4 linked regions of the Alligator mississippiensis genome follow. The protein of the gene in region 1 interacts with the protein of each later gene in a pairwise test. Links are inferred from orthologs where the notes say so. Each region holds a gene or a part of one and is shown on either strand. Other genes may lie near its edges. The genes, in order: PLSCR1, SLC35A2, CRY1 and ESR2.

What was found.
Region 2: the proteins of PLSCR1 (region 1) and SLC35A2 interact in a two-hybrid assay, tested with the Homo sapiens proteins (2 studies listed by BioGRID and IntAct). The two-hybrid records come from large-scale screens. The link is inferred for Alligator mississippiensis from reciprocal best matches to the Homo sapiens genes PLSCR1 and SLC35A2.
Region 3: the proteins of PLSCR1 (region 1) and CRY1 interact in a two-hybrid assay, tested with the Homo sapiens proteins (2 studies listed by BioGRID and IntAct). The link is inferred for Alligator mississippiensis from reciprocal best matches to the Homo sapiens genes PLSCR1 and CRY1.
Region 4: the proteins of PLSCR1 (region 1) and ESR2 interact in binary tests that used the Homo sapiens proteins (3 or more experiments, as listed by UniProt). The link is inferred for Alligator mississippiensis from reciprocal best matches to the Homo sapiens genes PLSCR1 and ESR2.

Annotation. Positions count from the first base shown.
Region 1 is NC_081830.1:59,169,721-59,177,170, forward strand, and holds the start of PLSCR1 (phospholipid scramblase 1), read right to left. Parts: upstream 3,012-7,450; 5' UTR 2,774-3,011; intron 2,613-2,773; exon of another isoform or gene 2,492-2,612; intron 1-2,491. UniProt on the Homo sapiens protein: Catalyzes calcium-induced ATP-independent rapid bidirectional and non-specific movement of phospholipids (lipid scrambling or lipid flip-flop) between the inner and outer leaflet of the plasma membrane resulting in collapse of the phospholipid asymmetry which leads to phosphatidylserine externalization on the cell surface.
Region 2 is NC_081831.1:28,440,828-28,447,662, forward strand, and holds the start of SLC35A2 (UDP-galactose translocator), read right to left. Parts: upstream 3,022-6,835; 5' UTR 2,931-3,021; intron 2,819-2,930; 5' UTR 2,753-2,818; coding exon 2,677-2,752; intron 1,084-2,676; coding exon 901-1,083; intron 1-900. Other genes in the region: OTUD5 (OTU domain-containing protein 5), read right to left, coding at 4,669-4,790, 6,075-6,188. UniProt on the Homo sapiens protein: Transports uridine diphosphate galactose (UDP-galactose) from the cytosol into the Golgi apparatus, functioning as an antiporter that exchanges UDP-galactose for UMP.
Region 3 is NC_081827.1:104,109,561-104,116,441, forward strand, and holds the start of CRY1 (cryptochrome-1), read right to left. Parts: upstream 3,018-6,881; 5' UTR 2,774-3,017; coding exon 2,616-2,773; intron 1-2,615.
Region 4 is NC_081825.1:291,561,978-291,569,227, forward strand, and holds the start of ESR2 (estrogen receptor beta), read left to right. Parts: upstream 1-4,238; 5' UTR 4,239-4,461; intron 4,462-7,250.

The sequences.
Region 1 (7,450 bases):
CAGTGTTAAACCATGCCCATATAACACTTGTCCAGTGGAGTTTAGAAGAACCCAGCATAGAGGTTCCAGGTGGAGTAGGAAGGGGAAAAACTGAAGTAAAACTCCACCAATTGAAGTATCATGTCCATTTCTATCCGGGGGAAGATGCATTCAGTGCAAAACTACTAACAGCTCCCTTTACACCCCATGGCAATGCAATAATGCCTACAGCAGCAGCTACTCCAAAAAAGCTTGTCATCTGTCCACTCTGGACACTGATGTAAACTTGCCCTATTTTTTGTTTTGCAGGTGTAATGTCCAGGTGCCAGGTTCCTAATAAAAACAGCATCAGATAATCCTGCTGTGTTGGGAGAATACTGCCACTTAACTCCCAATTTAAGTGGAGCAGGGTAGGGGTTAAGTTAAAGAGAAAAGGTGTGCACCAAGCACTGAGTCACTAAACCCATTTATTCACAGGACACTACCAAGGAAGGAAGAGGCTTGTAGCCTCTCTGTGTTGCCACCACTCCTTACTGTGCTCTCTCTTGCTCAAAATGCAGTTCCCAGATAGACATAGCAAGAAGTGCTACTGGGGAAGCTGGAGTCACAGGGCTTGAGCCACTGAGCTGTTTGCAGCCCACTACCCAAGTATAAACTGAGTGTAGAAGCGCTACCACTCAGTTATCTTTTTAAATATGCTCGCTTTGCACAGATGCAACTATGCAATGTGCAAGACAGAGATTCAGGCTCAGCTGAGTGCTGTGCCATGAGATTCCCACTAGACTTGATGACAGCAAGCACCTAATGAATAATGAGATGAAAGAAAAATAGCAAATATTGCAATTTCATCTAATCCCAGCAGAATTTGCAGTTAACTACATTCTCACTCCCTTCAGTAATATAGTCATACTTTTATCACTCTAGTTTCACAATAGAGGAAGCATGACCGTTTCACCTTGAAAAGGTAAATGCTATCTGAGAAAATGTAACAGTTAGGGGCTTTTTTTCGCAACTCTCATCCAAAAATGATATCCAAAACCAAAAGTCATACAAACTGGGATGAAACTGAATCCAGGCAAAATGAGGAAGTGATACTGGTGAAGAAGTAATCTGAGGAATTTGGGTACTACTTGATGAATGGTCCCTGCCTGCTGAACATACTGTTGGTACACAGCTTCAAAGTCCTTTTGAACATCTTGTTTCCTTTGCATATCCAAAAAAACCAAAATTGGGCAAAATGCGAACTTCCAAATAAGGTTGGCTGGAGGACTCTCCCATTTTATCAGAGATCTGACCATGGTTTTTAATGCGTTTGTGACCTTCAGGCTCACTTCCTGCAAATCAAACTGGGAACAAAGCACCCTTACCTTGAAAATAACAATGATGATACAAGATCATAGTCCAAATTAAGGTTTCTATCATAATATTCAAATCCTACCAAGAAGGCCAGCCTATGGTACTTACAGAGATCACCTCTCCTTTATATCCACAGCCAGCAACAACAGCTATGTGCTTATGGGGCTTTATCAAGTCTGCATATCAAGGAATCCTGCTTTTGTCTATGCGACGCACACAAAATCATCGAAAGCCAGGGTTAGAAGGGACATCAGGAAGTCATCTAGCCCAACCCCTTGCTCAAAGCAGGACCACCCCCAACTAGATCATCTAGGCCAAGGCTTTCTCTACCCAGGTCTTAAAAACCTCCAAGGACAGAGATTCTACCTCTTCTCTAAGCAGCCGGTTCCAGTGCTTCACCACCCTCTAGTTGTATTTCATCCTACCACTTTATCCAGGGGCATATGAACCTAATAAGGAACAGGTGGATTCATTATACATGGCTACCAAGCTTCTCTGTAGTCAGTCTCATGGCAAGGAAGTTTGGCACCCGGGGCAAAGCCCGCAGCAGCAGCCTGCCCACACCCCATGCACCGATCTGGGGGGCACATGCCCCCCATGCTTGCCCAGGAGCCCCTGCAGCTATGGGAGCCGCCCTCCCCTGTGCCCTGCCGAACTAGCTGCTTGTGGCTCCATCCTGTGCCTCTGCCGGGTAGTGCCTGTTGGCGCCCCTTCACGCTACAGCACTGCCTATAGTCAAGTTAACTTAAATCAGTTATAGCTACTGTCTGCATTTCAGCAATAGGCCAGGAAAAATAGCAGATTAAATATTTTAACATGGATGCCAGAGGGATGAGACACCAGTAACCTAAAATGTGACCCCTCTTCCTTCCCGTAATACAGATCAAAGGGTCCTGGTCAGCCAGAGGGGAGAAGAGTTTAGATTTGGTGTTTGAGTCACGCTGTCCAGTAAAGACAACCATTAGCATCCAGTTTTCTGCCACTGGCCAAGTCGGGCCACAAGCTTGTTGATACGATAACAGGAGAGAGATGACAGACAGCGCCTCAGGCTCTGCCTCCCAGTCCTTATTAAATAGCCAGAACTGTTGCTAAGACGCGCCCTCGGGCCTAGCACGCACCCCCGCGGCAGACACCGCCCCGCCCCGCCCGGACGCACCTGCGCGGCGGGCTGTGCGGGGAGCCCCTCAGGCAGAGCGGCCGGGGACCAGCTCGGGCCGGGGCCGGGGCCGGGCTGCCCGCACTTCAGCAACGAGGAAGTAACGGCGCCGCTCCCTGCCGGAAAGGGGGCGGACAGCCTGTTTGGAAAGGCTGCAGGTGCGGCTTTCGCTTTGCCTCAAGGGGCCGCGAGCAGGGGCTGGGCGGACGCCTGCCCTCGCCCCGGACCCGCACCGCCCCGCCAGCCCCGGGGCCGCGCTTCCCGCCCCGCGCACCCCCTTGCCTTCGCCTCGCCTCGCCTCGCCTCGCCGCACCGCTCCCTCGCGCTGCCTGGGATGGGGCAGGAGCCGCGGCCGCCTCGGGGAGGGAAGAAGCCCGGAGGGCGAGGGCAGGGGAGGAGGCTGGGCGGGGCGCGGAGAGGCGCTGGCCCGGGCCCCCGCGGCCGCCGAGGGAGCAGGGCGGCGCCTGGCCTGCAGGCGGGTCCGTGCGGGTGCCCCGTCGGGGCCGCCTTGCTCCCAGCACCGGGGCCCGTCGTCCTGGGCGGGCGCCGCTGCTTGCAGCCCGTGCGGCGACGGGCAGCGTCTCGCTGCTCCTGCGCCCCGCAACCGCGCGCGGCCTTTCGCCGGCTTGCTAGGCAGCGCCTTCAGCACAGTCCGTCTGCAGGGATCGCTGCCACCTCCTTTTCACTCCCAGAGAACTCCCCAAAGCTCCCCTGCGTGTGTGATGGAGGCAGCGAAGTAAGTGCTGCAGGGAATCGGTATCAAGCATCTTCACTGCGGTTTTGTCCAGCATCCATTAAAGCTGGAATTAAACAAACAAACAAACAAACAAAAAGTGAGGTTCCATGAAAAAATGACAAGGAAATTATATTGCAGGGATTTCTCTCTGTTTGCCTTGAATTCAGGTTGATGTTACCTGGTCCTGCAAAACATGCCTAACCCTCTATGAATTTAAAGATCCCTGGCCTCCATAGAGAAAGTCAAAAAGACCAAGGCTAAATTGATGCAGTCTTCACAGGTTAATCTAAAGCTGCATAGGTTGAGCCAATAAAAAAAGTGAACAGACACCAGCTTTTGATTCCTGAAGTGCAACTGCAGCCCTGCATGGTTCAGACCAGAAACAGCAGGTAGAGGGAGGGGCAGAGCATGCCTTCCTGCTCTGCTGGAGCACACCGCTTGGGCCAAGGCTAGTGGGCTTGCAGGGAAGGTGCAAAGCATCCTGGGGGGGGCTGTGAATTAATAGGAATTGCCACCTGATCAGTTGCACTAAACCTAGTAGTTTTGTTTTTAAGCTACTAACTAGTTAAATTGGTTTAAAAGTGTAATCTGCATATATTTTCACTGAATCAGTAGAAACTGAATCAGTGATCTTTCATTACTATTTAATACAGAAAACATGCTCCCCACCTTTTCCCCCAAAGAACGCAGGTACCATTTCAACAGATTTCTGTGCATATTTACATTTTATCACTGTGTTTAAAGCTTATGGATTATAACTCATTCATGCCTTTACAATCATGGTATAAAAGCAACCTATTATTTATTTTACATTTTCAGTAACTCCCAACTTTTTTATTTTCAGTTTTGACTTTACTTTGGAATTCCAAGGTACTGATTTGTCTAATTTAACATGGTAAGCCGCTAGACATTTTAGGCTTTCAAAATCAGAGAATTTTCTATCATTGATGGAAATTTTCCATCAATTTTCCATTCTTTGCATTACAGTAATAACATTAGCTAATCACGTCAGTTTGCAGTCCAGTAAAGGCAGTGGGTATGCAGTATTTGCAAAGTTTTACCTGTACTGATATGTTATGTTCTAACCATGAAATGTGCTTTTTCCTCAGGGAATAATTTATAATTTTCCATTAATGAACACTGCTCTGTAGTCCTGTATTCTATTAAAAGGACATATTTGTTATTGGTTCATGTTCTCAACTACTTCTACCACATATGAATAGAACTTTCAGGAAGACTTTTCTTTCTACTTTCTTTGCTATTTCTATTTTCTCAAGTCTTTTCCTTGTGAAACGATGCCTCTTGGATTTCTACTGAGCACCAGATCTACTGAGCACCCAATTTGTATTTCACTGATTCTACCAGCATGTACAGATCTAATTAAGATTAAATCATGTATCCTGTATCAGTCAGTCTCTCACCAGCTCATTGTATTACATACACAATAGGGGCTTTTCATGAAAAAGTCACAGCAATCCAAATGTATGTATTTGAGAATTAAGTCAGTCTACTATGCATCAACCAGTTCATATTATTCTTTACTGTAAGTATCAAAGGAAACATTTTTTCAAGGATATTGTACATTTCAAGTTTTTCCATAGTCTTTACAAAAATCACCTTGATTTTCTTCCTTTTGCCACCTGCTGGCAGAGCCCCCCTGCAGCGTCTTGCAGCCCTGTCTGCCTGAGACCGAGCACCACCTGTGCCACATAGCACAGGCCTGCCTTGGCTTGACCCGGGGGCATGCACCTTTGGGCAGGACTGGGCAGCTCTTTCTGTCACTAGAGTCTCGATACTGCACACCAGGCTCCCTGCCTTCATGGAGCCGGCCTGGCCTGATACGAGGAACCGCTTGCAGGATGTGATGGGCTAGGAGGAGGCGTAGAGGTAGCAGGGATGAGAGAGAGGGTTGGGGGTAGGGGAGGGCTTTGGGTCAGAGAGGTAGCTAGAGCTGGGCTTAGAGCCCCGCTTTTTGCCTAGAGCAGCCTGTACAGGGGGAGGCCAGCCTGAAAGGAAAGGAGCTTGCTCAGCCCAGTCCCTGAGCCCTAGTCAAGGGCTTCCCAGGAAAGGCATGGGGAAGCGCTGGGGCCTGGGCACAGACAGGGAGCAGAGCAGCAAGGGCTGGTACTGCTCACAGCCACAAAGCAGTGGATGGAACAACTGCAGCTGGACGCATGTCCTGGTGCTGGGAGGGAGCTAGTGGGGGCAGGCAGGACACTGGGATATCAGTGCTTCTCAGCACCCCACATCCTGGTGACCAAAGTGGAAAGGGGCGGCTCTGATTTTTCTATGATGAAAAAAAGAAAGGAAATGCTAAAGTGTATAGGATATTTAGAACTTGTTTATTATGACGATAGAGGCACTGCTAGGCTTCCAAATTGCTTTAAAATTGTAAATATATCAGTAAAGCATTGCCCAACTCTACATATAGTGCTGTTTCATTTTAAATCACAAAATAACAGAGATTTGGGGTATTTTAATGAGAAAATTTGGGTTCATCAGAGAATTTGGAATTTTTAAATGGGGAACACCAGGATCTTTACTGGTGAGACAAGTGGCAAGATGTAGACAGAGGAGCCTGGGGAGGGGAGCTGGGCAGGGAACAGGTTTCCCAGCTCCCACCAGGAGGGAGGTCCCAGTGCCAGCTCTGCGACTGTGGGACTCATCCTGGGAGATCCTTATCACCCAGGCTGAGCTCCTAGGTCTAGGGGCTTGGACCATGGAGCCAGCGCTGGGAGATAAGTGTCTCCCAACTCAAGGCCCTCCACCACAGAGCTCAGGCTGGGAGATAAGGATCTCCCAGTCCTTGGTTCCCTATCGGAGATATCTGAGCAGGGGGTTTGGAGTTCCCTGCTGCCAGAGCAGGGGGGACATAGTCCCCGCCCAGGCTCCTGTGGCAGAGTCTACCCCTGCAGCAGGCAGCTCCTAGGGGCAGGGAATTATTTTCTACCTCCTGGTGGATGGGTGACCGGGAGTAGATTTTGTTCCCAGTCAGGCACCTACATGAGCACTATTTGCGCCATTACTAATCGTGAGTAAATTTGCTACTTGTATTTGCAGATAGCAAAATTTACTTGGGATTAGGGAGGTTTACTGTGAAATAAGCATGTTCATGTTTACAAAAACTACAAATCATATTGTACAGGATATACTTAATGTAAAAAATTTAGAGGACTATAACTTCATTGTTATGTAGAGAACAAGAAGGACAAGCATAATTAGTGTGGAATCAGAAAAAAAAATAAATGCCTTAAACTTTGATTATTTGAGTTATAAGATGACATAACTGCTTTGTAGAGAATTGCTGGCTCTGTACAGTAGAACAGATAAGGGAAAGTGTTTGTTCTTTGTAACTCCTCTGCAACTGCTTCACTCACCACAGCCTTGAAGATAGCAAAAAGTATGTACAACTCTGATTTCCAGGTGCAAGAAGGAGGTTTGTGAACTAACCTCGCCTCCCCCATAAGTTCCTATCTTGATTACAGCAATGAAGTAATGTTTATAGCTGCTTTTTTTTTTTTTATAAGCCTCCTGATTTTGCTTTTGGGGGGCGGACTTCTTCTAAGTGCTTGGGAAATCTATGTCACTTTGGAATCCCCTCTACAGCTGTAGTTTTTTTTTAAATAAAAGCTTTTGTTAACCTGATTCAAAAGTATTCTGCGTGTGTTTTCACAACAATTCCTGGTGCCGTGACTCGGATCCAGAACACGTGCTGAAGAAGGAGGACCACGGACTGCCCCCCTCCAAACCCTGAGGCGCCAAACTTAAGAGGTAAGAGACCTAATTCAAAATCTCTTTTGGGGTTTCAGAGGAGAACTGCCTGTAGGCTCCCAACTTAGCCGTGGTAACTAGATCTAAACCTTGTTAAAAACAGGTCAGTCTAAACCTTACTGCCGGCTAAAATTTTCTGTCTGGTAAAGAATCCAATTTTCTGTCTGGTAACGTATGTTTTATTCAGGGAAAAACTTTGAAGCACCTTCATCCAACAGCACATTGGGCTTGTAGTTAATTAACTAAGGCGGTGTGGGGGAGGAGGTCTGGCTGACTAAATGAATGCGTGTGTGTGTGTATTTAAAAATATAAGCCACTGACCAGGTCTAAAACTACGGTTGGGTTCAGCAGCCCCAATTCTGCCTAACGGCAGTTTTAAAAGCAAGGGGGCCCAACTGAAACCTCATGACCCAGTGGACAGGGCTTCAGAGTAATTTTGTCTTTTTCTATCT
Region 2 (6,835 bases), on another chromosome or scaffold:
GGTTACCATATGTCTGAGTTTTCCCTGAACACATCCTCTTTTTGGGTCCTCCCATTTCCATCCTAGCAGGTTTTTAAAATATCAACAAATGTCTGGAATTTTTGTTCTGCCTCTGCTTTCCTGGTACTTCCTGGATTGCCCCAGCAAGGAGTTGCTTGGGGCTCGGGGAAGGGGGCACAGGATGATTGGAGGCAGGGGCATCACATGCTCTGCATGCAACCCCAGCAACTGCAGGCAGGTAAGTCTGTGTGTGTATGCATGTGCGCACACGTGTGCCCCTGCTGTTGCTGTGGCTGCAGCAGGGCGGGGAAGGGGGTGGGACGTTCTTCAGGGACAGCAAGGCACTGCATGGGCAACAGGGCTGAGGCAGGGCAGGGGACTGCAGGTTGGGAGTGCGGGACATCAGTATGGTCTGGGGGGCAGTGAACTATGGGTCAGGAGTGAGAGGCAGCAGTAGGGCTAGGGAGGCTGTGACTTGGGAGTGAGGGACAGGGGTAGGGCACAGCTATATCACAGCCCCCCCATCATACACCCCCCCTGCTCCCCACATAGGTGTCCTTTTTGAAACCGGAAATATGGTAACCCTACCACTGCTCCTGTCTGAACCCTATCCACCTGGCCCAGCTAAGCCACTCTTCCCCCTGGAACAAGGCCCAGCCCTCCCACCCTCCTTCTTTCCCCAAGCCTGACCAGAAGACCAGGCCCTGCCCCTCCCTCCCCAAGCCCCACCCCAGGCCCTGTCTTCTCCCCTCAAACCCCTTGCCCAGGCTGGGCCCTGCCCTTCTAGCCCAAAGCCCACCCCCTCCCTTTCCTGAGTCCCACCTCCCAGGCCAGGCCCCACACCCTCCAACCCATAGCTCTGCCCCCCCAGCTAAGCCCCATTCCCCACAGGAATCTCACCACGGTGCTGCAGTAATAGCAGTAGGAGGCAGGTGCCACCCTTGAGCAGCTCGGCTAGGACTACAGCGGTGGTGGGCAGGAAGCGTGGCCCTGGCTGTGTCCGTGCATAACGGATGCTCAGGATCAGCGATGCATTCTGGAGAACCAGCACAGCCAGGCTGGCCTGACGCACTCGCCGCCGGCCTGGGAGGGAAGACGGGGATGGGAGGGTGGGGTTAGAGCAGGATCGGGACCCCCAGCTGACTTAACATATCTGCTGCTGGCCTGGTGGGAGAGATAGGAGGCACTCTAGCAGGATCTGAACCCCACAGAGCCCCCCAGTATGACCAGATTAGCCTGATGCACCTGCTGGTACTCTGTGGGGAGAGATACAGGGGGGTTAGAACAGGATTGGGACCCTCACAGAGCACCACCCCCATGGACTACCCCCACCATAGCCAGGCTGGCTTGAGACCAGAGATGGGGGATTAGAGTAGGATTGGGACCTCCATGGAGCCCCCCAGCACCAAGCCAGCCTAATGCTGCCTCCACCTTGAGAAAGGGGATGAGGTAGGGGGTAAGAGTATGACAAGGACCCCCCAGCTCTGAGTTGAGCAGCTGAGTATAACATGGCCTGGCTAAGATAGCATGCAGCTGGGATGGGGTGCCTGGGGATCAGCTACATATAACACTATCTGGAGAGGTCTGAGATGTGCCCAGCTCTGAGGCACAGCAGCCGAGGAAGGGTCAGTAAAAAGGACACAGATGCACCTAGCTCTAGAGTTGGAGAGCTGGGGAATGGCTACGCCAAGCCCTAAGGTGGGATGGCCAGGAAACAGACAAATATATATAACACTCCATAGGGGAAGGTTGAAATATGCGCAGCTCCAGGGTAGGACAGCTGGCGAACGGGCAAATATAATAGTACCCAGGGAGGGCCAAGATGCACCCAGCTCTAAGCACCTAAGGAAGAGCTGAGTATAAGGGGCCCAGATGCAGCCAGCTCTGGGGTGGGGTGGCTGGGGAACAGCTGAGTATAACAGCGCCTGGTGAGGGCCCAGATGCAGTCAGCTCTGGCTGCAGCCACCAGTAGGATATGCCCCTGCTGGATGCACAAATGCTCCAGCTCCAGCGCTGCCCAGCTGAGCAAACATCCTGCTCCCGCCCCTCCAGGCTGGGGGCTGCCAATGGTGGTGTGGTTGGACCAATGAACCACATTCCACCTCTGGGATCAGGCCCAGTTGCACCTGCTGGGGGAGGGGACAGAAGAAGTGTGGATATGGGCAAGATGTGCCCAGCTCTGTGGTGGAATGGCTAAGTGCAACAAGACAGGGAGAGGGCTGGGATGCGGCCAGCTCGGAGTGAGGGTGAAGGGACAGATAAGCAGAACAGTATGCGGCGGATTTTGGGACGGGACAAGGGTTAAACTGCAGGCCTGAGATGCAGCCAGTTCTGAGGAAGGCAGCCGAGTAGGACCCGCATGCCTAAAACAAAATGCAGCCAACTCTGGGGTGCGGCAGGGGAGAGCAGCAGAGCACGATGCCACTCGGAGAGGCCCGAGATGCGCCCAGGTCTGGGGCAGAGGCGCTGGGGAAACAGACGAGTATAACGAGGCAGGGAGCGGACCGAGATGCGGGGGCAAGGCACCCCCAAACGTTACACTCGGCCGCTCCCCCTCCAAACTAGCAATTCTCGACCCTTCCCCCCGGGGCGTCAAACTCGCCCAGAGCGAGCGGGTGCATTTCGGCCCCGCCGCCGGGCCTGCCACGCCCCCGCCCTTCGGTTCCCTCGGCTCACCCCCCGCGGCCGCCGGGTCCCTTCCAGTTTCCGCGACAGCCGCAGCTCCAGCCCCCGCCGCGGTCGCCGCTGCCATGGTGGCACTTGCCCGGGCCCCAAGCGCCAGCGTTGCCACCACTTCCGCATCCTGCGCTTCCGCTTCCTGCGGGAAACAGGCGACAAGCGAGAAGGAGCAGCGACCCCGGCTAGAGAGGAGGCATAGTTTCGGGCGGAGGGCTAGAGCGGAGTCTGGTGTGGAGGACTGGGGCTCTCACCCTAGAGTCTGGAACAGGAGTAGAGTGGGGCCTCACAGCTGTGACCAGAAAATTGGGGGGTCTAGAGCGCAGCCTGGTGTGGATGACTGGCGCTCACACTAGAGTGGAAGAGAGTAGAATGGAGCCTCGCGGGGGAACGGGTCGAGTGGAACCTGACTTGGAGGACCGTGGCTATGATCATAGAGTTGGGGCGGCGACTGAAACAGGGTCTGGCGTGGGGGACCGCGGCTGTGACCATATCGTGTACGTGTGGGCAGGCGGGTTGGTAGGGGTGTGACTGAGGTAGAGCAGCGCCTGTGAGCATGGGGAACAGTAGAGTGGAGCCCCGCAGCTGTGACCATAGGGTGAGAGTCATGCTGCTTGGAGAACCGCAACTGTGACCATAAAGTTGGGGCTGGCTAGAACAGAACCTGGCATGGAGGATCATAGTTTTCACCGTAGAGGGCAGGGCTGAGTACAGTCCTGCTTGTAGGACCTTGGCTGTGACCATAGAGCAGAGAACAGGCTGGGCAAAGGGGAGTAGGCACAGAACTGTGCCTCTCACCGTAGGGTGGATGGATTATAGGGATTCCTGGGAGACCACATCCATTATCATGAATAGCAGCAAGGCCTGGGTTAGAGGACCACCCCCACCCTGTCACCTGAGAGGAGTGAACTAGGGGGCATCTTGCTGGGAGGACTGAAGGTGTGACCATAGAGTTGAAAACTGATAATTTGAAGTCCTCTTGTGACCTGCCACCACAGAGTAGGACATCTCAGCTCAAGTGGCCCACCCTTGGAACGTAAGTGAATAGGAGCTGCCTAGAGAGGAGCCCTCCTGGAGAATTGTGACTACCACCAGATAGATGATTCAGCTACAGTAGTACAGTGGAACCAGAGTATGTGGGTGGGCTGGCTAGAGGAGCCCTGCTGGAGGACTGTGACTGTCACCAGCATTGGGGAGCAGGAGGTAGTACCTGGAAAAATACATAGCAGCACTGGGGGCCTAGACACCTAGGTTCTCTAAGGAGTAGGGGTCAGGGTGGAGCTTAGAGTAGGGAGAGGGCTCTGAGCCCAGATAGTTGTGGTGGGAGGAAGGCTGAACCGGACACCTAGGTTCTCCAGGTAGACTGGGGGCTGAGGCAGGGGCAGAGCAGGTGAGGCTGGAAGCCAAAACACCTGGGTCCCTCTGCACCAATAGACGGAAATGCCACCCCCCTTGTGACTAGTCATGGGGGAATCCCTCTCAGCACCCACAGGATTAACAGGGTCCCCAGGCCACAGCCCTTATAAAGCCTTGTGAGGCAGCTCCCACATGGAACTTAGGCCCTTCCCTCTCAGCCCCACTTCCAGCCTCTAGGGGGTAGGCACTGTAGGGGGCCATATTCCCCACCCCCAGCACAATACAGCCACCTCTAGAGTGAAAGAGGCCAGCACAACACAACCTTGCCCCAGATGAAGCCAGCTATGGGGTAGGGCATCTTCCCCCTTTATCCCCTCCCCAATTCACAGGGGGGATCCCCTCCCCCCATCCACCCATGACACAGCAGAGGCCAGGCCAGACACGGTGGGTTTCTCTTTCCTTTGTGGCGCTCATGGGGGGTGGGGGTGGGGGGGGGTCTTTGTTTCTCTTTATCCAGGATAATTCTCTTCCCAACATGCAGCGACAGCTCCAGTCTCTGGGGGAGAGGGAAGGGAGCAGGGGGAGAAGAAGGGGTGCAGGTGGCAGTGGAAGGGGGGAGGGGGCAGTCTAGGGGCATCAGCTCTTGTCAGCAGGGCTGTCTCTGTGCAGGGTGCTCTTCTTGATGGTCTCCAGGTACTCCTGCTGTGACACGGCCAGCACTGATGCCAGGATCTCATCGTCTTCCCAATCATGAAGGCCTGAAGGGTGGAGAAGATGGGGGATGGTACACAGCTGAGTAGAATGGCTCCCAGGATAGGCTAAGAGATGGCCAGCTTTGGGGTGGAGTGGCTGGGAAAAGAGTTAGGTAGAACAAGGGAAAAAACTGAGGCTGAGATGTGGCCAGCTTTGGGGAGGACTGCCTGGGAATAGCTGAGTATCACAGGTTACAGGGAAGGCACAGATACAGCCAGCTCTGAGGTAGGGCTGCTGGGGAACAGCTGAGTGTAATAAGACCAAGATGCAGCCAGGTCTGGGGTGAAACATTTTGAAATGGCTGGGTATAACAAGGCACAATAGAGGCCAGGATATGACCAGGTCTGGGGTGGGGAGCCTGAAAACACCTAAGTATAATAGCCTACAGGTAAGGCCATGTTGCAGCCAGGTCTGGGGTGCAGCAGGTAGGAAATGGCCAAGTATAACACCCCACAGAGAAGATAGAGATGCAGCTGGCCCTGGGACGGGATGGCTGAGAATGTAACAAGACTTAGATGCTGAGATTCAGTCTGGTCTGGGGTGGAACAATTGGAGAACAGCCAAGAGGCCAAGATGCACCCAGTTCTGGGGAGGAGTAGCTGGAGAATGGATCAATATAGCCCTCTGCTCTCCTGTGGGGGTGGGGGAAATAATGTGCCCAGCTCTGGGGTAGACTGGCTGGAGAACAGCTGAGTTTAGCAAGGCAAATGAGAGGTGAAATGCACCCAGCTGTGGGGAGGAGCAGTTGGATCAGCTGACTATAGCTCCCTACAGGGAAGGCAGAGATGTGGCCAGCTCTGTGGTAAGGCAGCTGGGGACCAGCTGAATATAACACAGCAAAACTAAGGCCGAGATGCAACCAGCTTCAGGGAGAGGCAGCTTGAAACAGCAGAGTATGACCCCTCCCCAGGGGAAGGCTGGGATGCACCTAGCTTTGGGAAGGAACAGCTGAGTATAACTAACACAACAGGCTGAGATGCAGCTGGCTCTGGGGTGAAACAGCTTTGAATGGCCAAGTATATAATGCTCCACAGAGAAGGCCGAGATGTGCCCAGCTCTGGGGTGGAACAGCTGGAGAAAAGCAGAATCTAACAGGGCATCAGTGAGGCTGAGATACAGCCTATTCTGGGGAATAATGCCCAGTATAACCCCAATCTGGCAGAGCCGAGATGTGCCCAGCTCTGCAGCAGGGAACAGAGCCCTTTCTCCCACCCCCATCAGTCCTAGATGCTCTGAAGCCTTGCCCCCAGCTCCAAATCCCTTCCTTTCTCCCCCCTAGAGTCACTCACCGAAGGCAGTGGGGGACATCTGCTGCATGATGGCACGGCACTCCAGTGCAGGGTACAGGGATACCAGCGGGGGGGTAGTGCGGCCCCCTGCAGCTGCCAGCTGACTGCTGGTACCTGGGGGGGGGGGAAGCTGAGCAGTAGGCCCCTGTCCCCATTGCCCCCAGGAACCCTGAGCTACCCCAGTGAGCTAAAACACTCCCACAGTCCCAGTAGCCTCTATCCCCGCCCCGACTTATTGCCTCACATTCATCACCCCAGCAGCTCATAGCCCCACCCCACCCCATTACCCCAGCAGCTCACAGCCTGCCCCCATTCCCCCAGAACCCACACCCCAGCCCCCACACCCCATAGCTCTGCCTCTCATTCCTCCAGGACCTATATCCCTGCCACCACCCTATGTCCTAGGACCACCTGCATTCCCCCAGCAGGACATAGCACCACCCCATCTTCCCAGTAGTGCACAGACCTGCTCCCATAAGCCTTGCCTTCATTGCTCCAGAAGATCATAGCTCTGCCCCCAAGGACTCATAGCTCCACACCACTCAATTCTCCAGTGCCACCCGCATCTCCCCAGCAAACCATAGCCCAGCCTCTATGACCTATAGCCCTGCCCCATTCCCCAGCAGCCTGGAGCTCGACCCTTATCCCAGTTCTACCTGCCAACAGCTCCTGCCCCCTCCTCACTCTCAGACCCCCAGCAACCTATCACCTTGCTGCCAGGACCCACAGCCCCTCCCTCACAACATATAACCCCTGTCCCC
Region 3 (6,881 bases), on another chromosome or scaffold:
GGCTCCACTTGATGGAGTGGGGGCCCACACTAATCACGTACGAGAGGATGAGAGAGGAGGCAACAGGGATTCTGGGTGAACCATTTGGGAATGTCTACCAGACACTTAAGGCAGGTGAAGAAACAGAAATCATTGGAAATAGAAAAGAAAGGCACAACTCAGTGTGGGAGTCAAGTAGAAGTTGACATGTATACAATGCAGTAGCTTATCATGAGTTGAAAGAGTCGGCACTGGGGGGGACTGCACCCAATGGGCACTACCACACATCTGATTTGGAGAAGTTGCACTAACCTATCCTTGCAGTAGATTCTATCAGTGTGTTTACCCAAAGTAGGCCATGTATTTTATAGTCATGCTCAGCATTGGCTGCATTTAATCAACTTTATATCTGGTTTACTGAGCATGTGCTGCTGTGAGCAGCAGTTTAATGATAGACGGTGTGTTTAATGCAGTTTCCTTGTAAGTGAGATTTCTCTAGTGGCTTTTCTCCCCATGCTGATTGGGGGAAAAAACTGTCTTATATTTGAGTAAATAAAATATATGAAACTCACTGTGGTAAACTAAAGTCTGTTCCGAATAAAAGCAGTCTCTTGATAGGAGGATATAGCTGTTACTTTAAGAAACTTAAATTTAAAAAATCCATAGTACAGAACTACAAAGCATATCACATGGATTATGAGCATTCAAGTTCAAACTGTTTCAAAGAAGGTGCTGCTCTGTATATAGAACAAGTTTGTTGGAAAGATGAAGGATTAGTAGAGTAGATAAGGTTCCTTAAAATAAAAAGAAATGTTGCTTCTTTTTCAACCTTCTCCCTTTTAGATCTCTTCAGTACACGCATAAACTGCCCCCCCCCCCCCGTTTTTTACGTCATCAAGGTTAATTTTGGTAGGTACATGTAAATATTACAACTTGAGAATCATTTATTATAACATTTGTCAAACAACCAAAGGACATTAGCATTAGTATTAAAAAGTCTACACTTTCTTTAGCCAAGTCCACTGAGTTAAACACTTGGTCCTGGGTCACTGGATTCTGGTGTGCTGACTTCCTAGAGACTAAAACTTGCCAAGCAGAAGTATGCCACAATCTGCTTTTTCTGGGTATTATGTATATCCAAAGGCTTAACAGTGTTTGTACTACCTCAGAGTTTAGGGTACGTACAGCACTGTGAAGCCTGACTTGCCCTCTGCTTCTAAATCTGCCCCAGTGGCCAACAGACAGGATGATTACAAGGCAAGGTACCATTGTCTTTTAAAAGTCTGGCAGCAACACATGTATTTCATTCAAAGAACCGAATCACTTATAAAGCCATAAGATTTGTAATTCAATTAGAAAGCACTTGCTCAAAAAATGCCTGTAAAGTGACTGAAGCTGATCTTGCTTAGATTAAGGGAAGTGTCCAAAAACAACTGGCTTTAGGTCTTACAGTTGTTAGTTTGGTGGTGTATTAACCATTAAAATGAAGGATCATGGGAAAGGTTTATTTTTCTACCATCAAGACTACAGACATGACCAGAGGGAGCAGAAGTTTACAACTTCCACATGTTTTTAAAAGTTAGCTTGTTAGCGAAAGATATCCTTGAAGACACTAAATCCAGAAGCCTCAAGTTCTTTCAACTGTGTCACACATTTGACTTTGGGTAGGTCCCTTCACCTCTATGCACTTCACTTCTGTCTTTTGTGAAGTGCAATAACGTTATTACCACATGTCTAATCCTGCAGAAGCTCATTTTTTTTAGTATTCAACTAACCCCATGCTTGGAGCCAATGCATGGACAGAGCTGCATGAACATCAATGCATCAAGTTCCCCTCCTCAGGAGGGCAACAGGAAAAAAAAAACAAGCCAACCTTTAGAGACAGCTATGGAAGTGCAGAGGTGGCTCTCAATCTTATTTTACTTTGTTGAAGACACAGAGGCAGAACAAATGTAAGTAACGCTTTGTACTGCCTCTCTCCCTCACTTGATCTTTGATCCGGCTGCCAGTCTCTGCTCCACCCGACTGAGCTCTGCCCCTTGCTGGGCTCAGGAAGTGCAGAGCTGAAAGTCCCCCTGCCAATACCAAACCCGGCCGCTGAGGGATCGCACCCGACCCGTCCACGCGCTCAGTCCGTGCAAAGATATCCCCATTTAGACTTGCGGCATCCCCGGCTCCGGCCCCGGCCCATGCGCGACCCCCCCGCCGCCGGGAGGCCGATGGCGGCTCCGGCCCCGAGGAGACCCCGGGCAGGCGCGGACCCGCTCCCGAGCAGCGATTGCTGCACATCTCAGCGCCCACAAGCCGCTTCTGCGGGCGGCCGGCGGGATTTCCCCTCCCCCCCCCACGTGGGTGGATCAGCAGCCGCCGGCCGAGGCAGGGGACGGGCAGGCTCCTGTGCTGTGGGCTGCTGTCACGGCCCGGGGGCTGCCATCCCCCCCTCCCCGCTTTTGGCACAGCGGGCCCTGCAGTGACTCACACACACACACACACACACGTACACGCACACACACATATGCGCGCGCAGTGGGGCGATGTCACCGCCGGTCCCCGGAGCCGCAGGCCGGGAAGGAAGCGTCGCGCGGGGCCCGAGGAGCAGCCATGGGTCAGGGTGCCCCCTCCCCGCCCGCACTCACCGCCACCGGTTGATGCCCACGTTGGAGGACCCCGCGAACCAGGGGTCGAGGATGTAAACGCAGCGCACGGTGTCGGCGCCCTGGATGCACTCACGCAGCGCCGGGTTGTCGTGCAGCCGCAGCCCCTTGCGGAACCAGTGCACCGCGTTCACCCCCATGGCAGGCCCGGGCAGGGATCCCCTCAGACGGGGCCGCGCCTCACGCCGGCAGCGGCAGGCGACAGGGGCCGCATCTCCTCGCAACAGCCCCCGCGCGGGGGTCGCTCGCGCAGAGCCCCGCCCCCTCTTTCAGCAGCACAACGGCCGGTCACGCGCAGGCGGCGGCTGGTGGTGTGCGCGGGACCCTGCAGCTCGCGCCGCTCGCCCTGTACCCGTGCGCCCGATCTGCGCCGGCGGCCAAGCCCCGTCCCCGCTTCCCCATTGGCTGCCGCCGCCCCACGTGACCCCCGGCCATCACGTTTCTCGAGTGTGTTTACTACCCGGAGTGTGGGGGGAGAAGCAAAGAGGAGGAGGGCAGGAGAAGAGGGCGGGCAGCTCGGCGTGGCGCCGAGGGCCGGTAGCCACTGAGACGCGAGCAATGTAGCGAGGCCGTGCCTCGACCGCCCCCGAGGCAAAGCTTCCTGGATGGAAAAAGGAGGGAACGGAGTGAAACAGGGAGGGGGGGGCTTTCGGGCTTGGCCCCGCCCCCTACCAGAAGCCCGGATGAGCACGGGGCTTCGAGGCGTCGGAGCTGCTGCTTGTGCCCATGCGCCAGAGCCGCGGCGCGCCGGCACTTGTGGTTGGTTGAGGGGGTGGAGCGAATGCCATGCGTATCGAAGGGGGGGGGCTTGCACGCATGCGCAGTCTCCCCCTCTTCTGCGGACGTGGCGGGGCGGGTGAGGCCCACGCAAGCGCTTACATAATTGCGCGGCAGGCCCCGCCCCTTTCTCAGCACAGCCCTGCGGCCGCGTGCGACTCCGCGTGCTCGCTCCCCCAATGTGCGGGGGAGAAAAGGTGTGCGGGGGCGTGGCGATGTAACCCGCGAGCTAGACTTCCCCGTCTGCCCCTGCCCCCTTTAATCCGGACCCGGTACATCTGGTGCCGGCTGACCCAGTTCCCGTGCCCTTCACGGGGAGGGCGGGACAGCCGGGAATAACGGGGGAGGGCTAGGGCCGGGTGCTGCTGTGTTCCCACAGCCGGCGCAGGGAGGCAGGAGCGAGTTGGGCTCCGTGGTTGTCAACGTTTTTTCGTTTGCAGAGCCCCTGAGAAACTATAAATGGGGGGCAGCCCCCTTTGGGACTCTGCTGCGGGTGTAGGGGACATAAGTAGATAATTACTGACGCACTTTTAAAAATAATAAGAAAAAGCATACCACGTTGTGAGCTCACCCTTTTGTCCTCGGTTCTAGTGAGATGGTTGAGCTGCTTGGCAAGAAAGCATGTGAAGGTTTGATAGGGGAGGTAGATGGGATCTCTTTCATTAGACTGACTCAATAGTTGCAGGGGGAGGGGAGTTCTTTGCCATCTTTTGGGCACAGACACCCTTCTTCAGGCTTCTGTAGATTTGGGAGACTCTGCTCTCTGTGCTCAGCAAAGGGGGTTTGTGCCCGAAAGTTTGTCAAGAACTTTCTTCCAAATAGTCTACAAAGGATGAAGGACTAGATCCACCACCAAGGAGGAATACTCTGCTCTGGTCCAGACCTGCAGAGAGCAGACCAGCAAAGCCAAGGCTGCATGAAACTCCAGCTATCTACAAGTATCAAGGACAATAAAAAGTCCTTTTTTAGATACGTGGGGAGCTGGAGGAAAAGCAAGGGAACATTGGACCCCTGTTGAACCAGATCAGACAACTGACAACCAGTGCCCAGGAAAAAGCAAACTTGCTAAATGGGTACTTTGCGTCAGTTTTTCACCAGTCCCATGGGACACCCCTGCCCACTGTGAGTCAGGGAAGCCCGGGTGAGGGAGATTCGTTGCCCTCCATCAATGCTGACCTCATGAAGGAACACCTTGAGAGGCCGGACACCTTCACATCAGCTGGCCCTGACAATCTACACCCCAGGATACTCAAGGAGCTGGCGAGTGTCATAGCCCAGCCCCTGGCACGGATCTTCTAGAACTCCTGGCACTCTGGTGAAGTGCCTGAAGATTTGAAGAAGGCCAATGTGCTGCCTATCTTTAAGAAAGGGAGGAAAGTGGATCTGGCAAACTATAGGCCCATCAGCCTGACCTCTACCCTGGGAAAGGTCTTGGAAAAGATTATCAAAGAGGCCATCCTTAACAGACTGGCTGACGGCAACATGATGGCTCAAGGATCTGTCCTAGGGCCTATACTATTTAACGTCTTCATCAATAATGTAGACATTGGTGTCAGAAGTGGACTGGCCAAGTTCGCTGAAGACACCAAACTCTGGGGTAAGGCATCCACACCTGAGGACAGGAGGGTGATCCAAGCAGATCTTGACAGGCTCATGAAAAAGGCAGACAAGAACCTGATGGTGTTCAACACCAAAAAATGCAAGGTTCTCCACCCGGGGGAGGAAAAACCTGCAGCATGCTTATAGGCTCGGCAGTGCTACGCTGGTTAGTGTTACAGATTAAATGGATTTGGGGGTCATCATTGACCACAAGATGAACATGAGCCTTCAGTGTGATGCTGCAGCTAGTAAAGTGAGCAAAATGCTGGCTTGCATCCATAGATGCTTCTCAAGCAAATCCCAGGACATCGTTCTCCCCTTGTTCTTGGCCTTGGTGAGGCCGCAGCAGGAGGACTGTGTCTAGTTTTGGGCTCCACAATTCAAACAGGATGTGGAGAAGCTTGAGAGAGTGCAGAGGAGAGCCACGCGCACAACCAGAAGTCAGGAGAACAGACCTTATGATGAGAGGCTGAGAGCCACAGGGCTCTTCAGGCTGGAAAAGCACAGGCTCAGGGGCAATCTGGTGGCTACCTGTAAGTTTATCATGGGTGCTCATCAGGATCTGGGGAAACGTCTGTTCACCAGAGCGCCAAGGGATGACAAGATGAAATGGTCACAAACTCTGCCGCAAACGATTCAGGCTGGACATAAAGAACTTCTTTACTGTCTGAGTCCCCAAGGTTTGGAATAGACTGCCACCAGAGACAATTCAAGCACCCACTTTGAATGCCTTCAAGACATATTCGGATGCTTATCTTCCTGGGATTCTTTGACCATAGCTGACTTCCTGTCCCTGGGGTAGGGGGCTGGATTCAATGATCCTCTGGAGTCCCTTCCAGCCCAAATGTCTATGAAATCTAAAATATCACACCTACCCAAAGAACCTAATCTGCCTGTGTCCTTAGACCAGGTGTAGGCAATGTTTTTTGGTTGGAGTGCCCAAAAAACCAACAATGCCTACCTTGGAAGGTGCTAGAGTGCCAGCATGACAGAAAAACAAAACAAGGGCAGGGGGTATATGGCAGGATGCCTTGCTCATGCCCCTTGCCTCCCACCTAAACCCCCTGCCCCCCAGCCCTGCTGCCCCTTGCCCCCCACCCAAAGCCCCTGCACCACAGCCCGGGCTCAGTGGCTAGCAGCAGCTACCCAGAACCTGGGCCAGCTGCAAACATCCACTGCCTCTCAGCTCTGGCCCCAGCTGCCTCCCGGCCTCGGGCTCTGGGGAGGCAGCAGATACCCGCGGTGCTCCCCGCTGTGCTGCCCTCCTCGCTGCTTCTGCAGAGCAGCATGTGAAACCCGGCGCGGCAGGACACAGCGGGGTGCACAGCTACCTGCTGCTCTGAACTCCCCACTGCCCTGGTCACACTTCCCCTGCAGGCGGGGGCAGCAGCAAGGGGCACAACCCTGCGTGGTGTCCACGCCGTTCCCATACACACAGGGGAAGTGTGACCCGGGCAGCGCGGAGCTTGCAGCAGCAGGCAACTTCTTTGCGCGGCCCCTCTGTGCGCTGCCGCTCTGGGTCGCTCACGCTGTGCTCCCAGCCCTGCTGCCCTCCCCTGGGCCCTCCGGAGCGCAGCGTGTGCGACCCGGAGTGGCAGCGCAGAGAGGGGCCGCGCAGGGAAGCTGCCTACTGCTGCAAGCTCCACGCTGCCCAGGGCACACTTCGCCTGCGTGCACAGGAGCAGCCTTGCTGCTGCCCCCGCCTGCAGGGAAAGCATGGCCAGGGCAACGGGGAGTCTGGAGTGGCAGGCAGCTTCCTGAGCCCCCGCTGTTCCCTGCCGCGCCGGGCTCCAACGCTGCTCTGCACAAGCAGCGAAGAGGACAGTACAGCGGGGAAGCATCGCCGGTATCTGCTGCCTCCCCAGAGCCCGG
Region 4 (7,250 bases), on another chromosome or scaffold:
TGGACACCAGCCAGAAGCCGAGTGCATGCAGGAGGGTGCACTGGTGTTTAGCCTCTGAGTGGGGGGCGGGTCTGTGAGCAGAGGCTTCTGCATCCCTCCGGTGGCTGGGCTGTGTCAGCTGGCTGGCGTGGAGGAGCAGGGACTGAAGGTGAACCTAGCCCGGGGGGTAAACAGCCCCCGTGCTCAAGCAGTGCCGCTGAGTGGCTCCTTCCAGGTTCCCTCTAGTACAGTGGTTCCCAAACGTTTTCTTAGGGTTACTATATTTTCAGATCTAAAAAAGAGGACACCTGTTGCATGGTGGGGGTGGGGGGAGGCAGGCAGGGATACAGCAGTGCCCTGCCTCTGCCTATTTTGTTGCCCTTTGCTTCCAAGCCACCCTCCCCCAGTCCTGTGCTGTCCCTCACTCCTGACCCACATACCCCAGCTCTGCCAGTGCCCCTCACTCCCAAACCACACGGTACTCTGCCCGCTGGTTCCCCTCACTCCTGACCCACAGTCCCCTGCTCCCCCCCAGCCCTGCCAGAGGGGCCCCAGCTGCCCCTGTCCTGACCAGGCCAGAGCGTGGTGGCTCAGAGCAAATCCAGCCCCAGTGCAGGCTGTACGGCAGAGAAAGGGAGTCCTGTGACAGCCTCCACCCCGGGCTGGGGCTGCCACGCTGAGCCAGGAGGCCCAGCGACAGCATACAGCCCACCTCCCGCTCCCCTTCCCCCCACAGCGTCTTCAGGCCGTTTTGCCCCTGCAAACATAGGCACCAGCACCTGTGCTGCCAGCCTGGCTATGGCCCTCAAAAGGCACCCCCCCATCCCCTTCCCCCTCTGCTGGAGGCAGGCAAACCCCCCCCCGACCCTCCTACCCTGCCCCAGCCCCCAACCCAGACTTATTTGTCTGCAGCTCCCTGCCTAAAGTCATCCCTCCCCTTGCTCCCACCAGCGGACCAAAGCAAAAACCCAGACATTTGCTCAGATTTGAAAAACCTGCCTGGACAGAGATGGGAGGACTCAAAAAGAGGACATGTCTGGGAAAACTCAGACATAGTAATCCTATTTTTCTTATCGCATACCCCCTCCCAGATTTACCAGCTGCCCACATATCCTTACCAGAATACTTTAACCCCTTAAATGCCAATTATTATTATAATAAAAATTAAACTCACCATTACACAATTTCTCCTGCGTGCCCCCCAGAGATGATTTGTGTACCCTCAGGGGTACCCATACCACAGTTTGGGAACCCCTGCTCTAGTATAAACCTACCCAATGCCCTGGCCAAGCAGCTTGAAAAATGTTCTCCTGGCCTCCTTGAGGAATTTAAATGCGAGTTGCCCCAGTCAGCCATATCCACGCTGTGGCCTCCTGTTCCCACACCCAGGCTGTGCCCTCCTGATCCCGTACCCATGCTGTGGCCTCCTGATCCCACACCCAGGCCGTGCCCTTCTGATCCTGTACCCATGCTATGGCCTCCTGATCCCGTACCCACGCTGTGGCCTCCTGATCCCGTACCCACGCTGTGGCCTCCTGATCCCGTACCCAGGCTGTGCCCTCCTGATCCCAAAGGCTCTGCTACTTCCAAGTCCGGAGGAAATGCACCAAGAGTGGGGATGCTGTGTCTCAACATGGGACTGCTTGACAATATGAAGCTCTGTGGTGTGAAAGCAAATCGGTGCCCTTTCTTCTCCTGTTCCCCTGAGGTTGGGAACGTGGTAAGTAGAGCCTGACTTCCAAAAGTGACAGTCTGTGGCCAGTGAGCAAAAAGCCTCTCACAGGTAGTTGGAATTTGACTCTTCAGCTTCGCAGGTGCATTGGTTTGTGAGTGAGCCAAGGGCTTGTTCAGAGCGAATGAACAAGACCAGTGGCCCAGGCACCCAGCCCTTCCTGGATCAAGAAAGAAGTCTGCACTTGCAGGAGGAGAGATGGGTCCAGCCTGTGCAGACAACACTGGGTGGCAGCATGAGCCAGGCTGGGCGGTGGAGAGCTGCTGTTGCATTGGACACAGGCACCTGTCTCCTGCATGCTGTGGAGGAGTTGGGTGAGGGGAATCAATTCATACTGTTTACAGATGCACAGTCATGACTCATATCTTAGAGAGGCCAACCTGCCCTCGTCTACCTCCGAAAGCCGGCAGGGAATCCTTCTCAGAAATCCGGGGTGACGTGAGGCGCTCTCCCTCAGGAAGCTGGGGTAGCAGTAGTTCTTAACTTCTTATTCATTTTCTCTGGCAAACCCACTGCTGGTTTGAGCCTAACATATTTAACTCATTTTCCTTCTTTTTTTTGTGGGGCTTGTGATCCCACTTCATTGCTGCAAACATGCAGTTTGGGGTAGGGTCTTGCAGGTGTCTTTTAACAGTGAGGAGTAGTGTCGACACTCCCCAAAGCAGGAGGAGGTGCGGTGCTTCGACCCCCTAACAGGCCTGAAATACATTTTGGAGAATCTGAAAGATTGGTACAGGAAAAACACATTTGGAGCATTAACCGAGTGGTGATACAAGTCCCTTGGTTTGGCCCTTTCCACTCCTGCAGTTAAATCATTGTCAACAGGTGCATTCATCATCAGTGCTGACAACAGATGTCGAGACTACTTGGCATATTTTTCCAATTTTACCAGCAGGCTTTAATGGTATGGAGAGAAAACTTGGTCTAAAACATAGAACTAAGTAATATGCTTTGAATGTACAGACATATCAGTTAGGCTCCAATGCTGATCTTGACTGAGCCAGGACACACAAACATGCAATGGGACAGGAATTGGAAAATTGAATTTGGAGAATCTGCAACTTACTGCACAATACTCTGCAGAAGCAATTTGGTTTTCGTGCCCACTCTTTAGGTTTTCCAGTACTGTCACTTTAATATATAGCATAAGCAAAAAAACCCCCAAACCTGTGCTTAATCTAAAAAGTCTTTTAGCTTCTAGTGTGTCATGGTCCCAAATCCACCTGAAGTCTATGCAGGGTTCAACTAAAAAACAAAAACCCTGAGGTACTAATAAGTTGCCATCGCCATGTGAAACCTGGGGAGGAAGGACAGGGATTTGGCAGGTCAGAGTAATCTCTGCAGGAAAGGGCTTATAAAACTTCTTGAACCTTTCCCGTACCCCCACATCCCCAACAAACAGCATCCTAAAGGCAATGCTTCTTCCACAGATTGCATTTCCCTGTGCCATCATGGGCTAATGGAGTTTAGTTCCACTCTTAATTAAAGGACATGTGAGCTGTGATGGACTTTTCTAGTTGGATTGCTTTACTTTTTGTAGTAAAGTGAATAGAATTAGTGATGATGAGCAAAGACCAAAGCAGCTTTGTGATGGCCTGAGCATCATTTATTCCAAGGTTCAGATTTGTAAAGGTATTTAGGTTCCTGAAAATGCAGATAGGTGGCTTGTAGGATTTTTGAAATCTTTTCAGTAAGCTGTGTGGACACTTATTGTTTTGGATGGGAGTTAGGCATGTAACTTGTTCAGGAATCTGAAAAATTCCACTTGGTACCTATAGACTACACGCTATCTGTAGGTGGCTAAGTACCTTTGAAACTTGTCCCCAAGGGCTGCTTTATATCACTTTGCTTAGAAGATTTTTTTACGGACAGAAGTGTGGTTGTAGTGCATAACTGAGATTTGCACTGTGATTAGTGTTTTTCAAAATGCTTTAAAAAATAAGAGCTAGTGAGTTCGTGGAGCAATTGAGTCACCTATTACACGGTGTCCAGTTAATTTCTTTCTCGATTTGAAAAGACATGCTGTTAAACATTGCTAATATGAATGCACGTTCAAGATTAGAGAATATTGCAGGATATGCTTTTAATGAAGCTTGTAAATAGATGACCACAAGTGTTTGAAGTGATTAAAAGTTCAAGTTCAAACCAGACTGGTTATATTGAGATTCTCCATTCACACTTTATGGGGGGAGAAAAGTTAATTTAGCTTTTAAAACCTCATCCACTGTTGCTGGTTAATTGATTATTTGAATGACTTTGGTCTGACTGAGTGTTAAACGTGTTACGTGCAAAATAGTAATGGGAATCATTGTGGTACGCTGCAAGAGTGAAATAAACCCAGGGAATATCTTTAGCTAGAAAAAGCCAACATTGTGTACAGGCGCCCTATGACAATACTTGGCTTATAAAACTACTTCAGTTCTGTAGGAGCTCTAATTGCAGGGAACAACAAGCTTATGAATTTGTTGTCAGAAGGAAAGGGGAGGAACTTAGATTTAGGTCTTGCCTCCACTGGGAAAGGAAACATTGAGAGTGTCTGTGTAATCTTGTACTGATGAGCTGGCATTGCGCTGCTTTATCAAGATCAGTATTTCAGATCCTCTGCCCTGTGGTGTGAGTGATGGTGATTTTAGAATGGCTGCGAAACAGAAGAAAGGGAAACTAATCCAGAAATGATGGGTGAAATGCTAGCTGGCATTTAATGCTGTGAGATAAACCCGAAGAGCAGAAAACTATTCGATATCAATCAGGTATGTGGTGAATTGGGTTACATATATTTGTTAAATGTTGTAAAAACTGATAGCCACTAGGTATATCAACAGTAAAATACTTCTGTGCTGTGATCTCATTTAATTTATGGTTTAAGAGGCTTATCCTTTTACAAATTATGGTTTCTAAAGTATGATCAATGTGTGTTGGCTTGTGCAGATAAAAATAATCCCTAAACAGGTTTATCCCTCCAAAAATTCTTTGGTTTCTCGTACCATTTCCAGGACTCTGGACTATAGAATCTTGATTCTTTTTCTTAAGATGTTTTTAACAAAAGTTTATTAACATGGCACTGCTGGAGTGAAGCAGAGGTGAATATTTGCATGCAAATTCTAGGAAAACAAATGACTTGAGAGTTTCTTTACGATAACGCATTGTAAAAGCCATTTGCTAATGTGGAAGGGTCTGATCCAATGGATTAAACAGGAATCTTTGACATAAGTGGCTTTTGGATTGGACCCTTCCTGCACTGTGGTGCGTTGAAGCTCCAAAAGATGTTAGGAGCCTCCTTTTTCAATCTTTGTTCTTTCAGCTACTCTATTTGCCTAAGTGATTTCCCATTTCTGTTGTTCAGTGGCTAAGATTTCACTGCCAGGTGTCTGCTTCATTTTTTAAAATATAATTAAATGTCTTTGATATTGGAAAAAGCTTTCCCAAGTAGACAAGAGAGGGCAAGCCTTGTTTGTTAAGGGTCCTTTAAAAAATTCTAAGGTCCTGGTGTTATAACTGGAAATATAATGCTAAAATTAAGATAATACATTTATTCTGAATTAATATTAATATGCAACTGTATGAAGCCATCATTGGTAAGCAGAGATCTTCATAGAAATTAATTAGGTAATCTGCCTAAAAAAACAGTGGAATCATCTAATCTTATTATTAGACCCATTTAATAAGACTTAAAGTTTGGAAAAAATAAAATGCATATAGAATTGCAGTCGAGTCTGATACAGACATCGCTGTTTCATAAAACTAATAACATAAAACCCCTGAAAACAGCACATAAAGAATATAGCTGTTCATCTAAGTAAAAAAAGTTTTGGTAGGATTGACAGCACCCAGAGAAGCAATCTTTGTAATATTAAGCGATACAGCCTCAGAATCTGAATTGCTGGGTATAAGTAGCAATCTTATTTCTTTTCACACCCCTGAAATTATTTTTGCAACCACAGATATCTCTTGGAGGAAAAAGAATAATGTGGGAGGATAGTATCTTTTAACTGGTATCTTTTACATTTCCGATTCCCAGCACACAATGGTCAGTAACTACTTTTCAGGTTTTAACAAAAGTTCCTGTGAACTGTATCTAGTTAATGTTATTTATATACACTAACTTAGCAAAGATAGATGGTCTATTCAGTCTCTTTCCAATCATACACAAAATGTCTATGTAAGATTGAAACCGGATTTTCCCCGTTCTTTTCAGAGTAAGGAACAGAGCTAGCATTGGCATACTTAGCATAACAAAATTACATGCGCCCAGACAATAATAGATTCCTTCCTTATAGATTTTTTCCAAAGGGAAAGGAGGAGCAGGGGGGAGGGAATAGCAAAAAGGAAAGAGGAGAAGAGGTAGTGATAGCAGTAAAAAATGCTACCCAGTGTGGGATTTGAAGCTGATCTTGAAATTCAGAGAAGTTAGAGAAGATACGTTTAAAATATTATGCTTCTGTTAGATCCTTTGATTTCCCAATATTTTCATACTTTTAAAGCTGAAGTGAAGAAATAGTTGAAGTCTTCAACAGAATAACCCTAAGGCATTTCGGTTGTTTGGGTGGCAGGATTTCCAGATGCAAATATCAGCCCTTATAGGTGTATTTAGGTGACAATGAGTGGATGAAGTATAAAAATATGAAACTATTGGAAAGCTATTTTTGCTTCAGGCTTCTTTAAGAGAAACAATATGCACACACACATGCAACAGCTTAAATTTTGGTTTCTTTGGTTAATGCAGTTTTTAATGCTGGTTCTTGAATGCCCTTCTCTTCCCCACTCAAACACATATGAGTAAAATGGACAGCTAAGAGAAAGGGATAATGATTTCAGAGGAAGAAGGTGATATGAAAACTCATTTTCCCACACTCATCTTCCTCCATACACTTTCATGCCTGTGAGCAGCTTGCTTCTGCTATCAGGAGGAAGTATCCAGAGAAGGGTGTGCCAATCTAGTCCCCAAGGAAAGAAAAATATCAGGGCCAAAAAAGAAGACAGTTCCCAGAATAACTCATTGACTCAATCTGTTGAGACAGTGGCTACGTCCAGACATGCAGGCATGTGTGGTTTGTAGCATTGCAAACCTCTTTGTGGCACCACAAACCACACGCCCAGACCATTAAGACGTGCCCTGCGCTGCAAATCTGCAGCATGGCGGCAAAATTTGCTACCACGTTTTCCTGGTAGCAAAAAAACCACTAAAGGAAAAAAAGCAACAAACAGAGGCTTGGTCCTCCAGGGAGACACTCTGGCTGTTGGCCAGAGCATCTCTGCTATTTTGTTTGTGCTCCAGCATGGCGGGAGCAGGGAAAGGCAGTTTGTCTGAAGCAGGACAATTGTCCCTCACCAAAGCACATGTGCAGGGGTGTGAGCTGTGGCACCAAGTAGCGGCACAAATGTGTGCTGCTGCTATTTGTACCCTTGGAAGCACATGCCCCTGCACATCTAGATGCGGCCAGTGAGTTTTAATATTATACCTTTTGGTTTTGTATTTTAGCAAACCAGAAGTAATATATAGGGAAGAAATGGGGAACTCCTAGTCCCATGAGTCAACAGC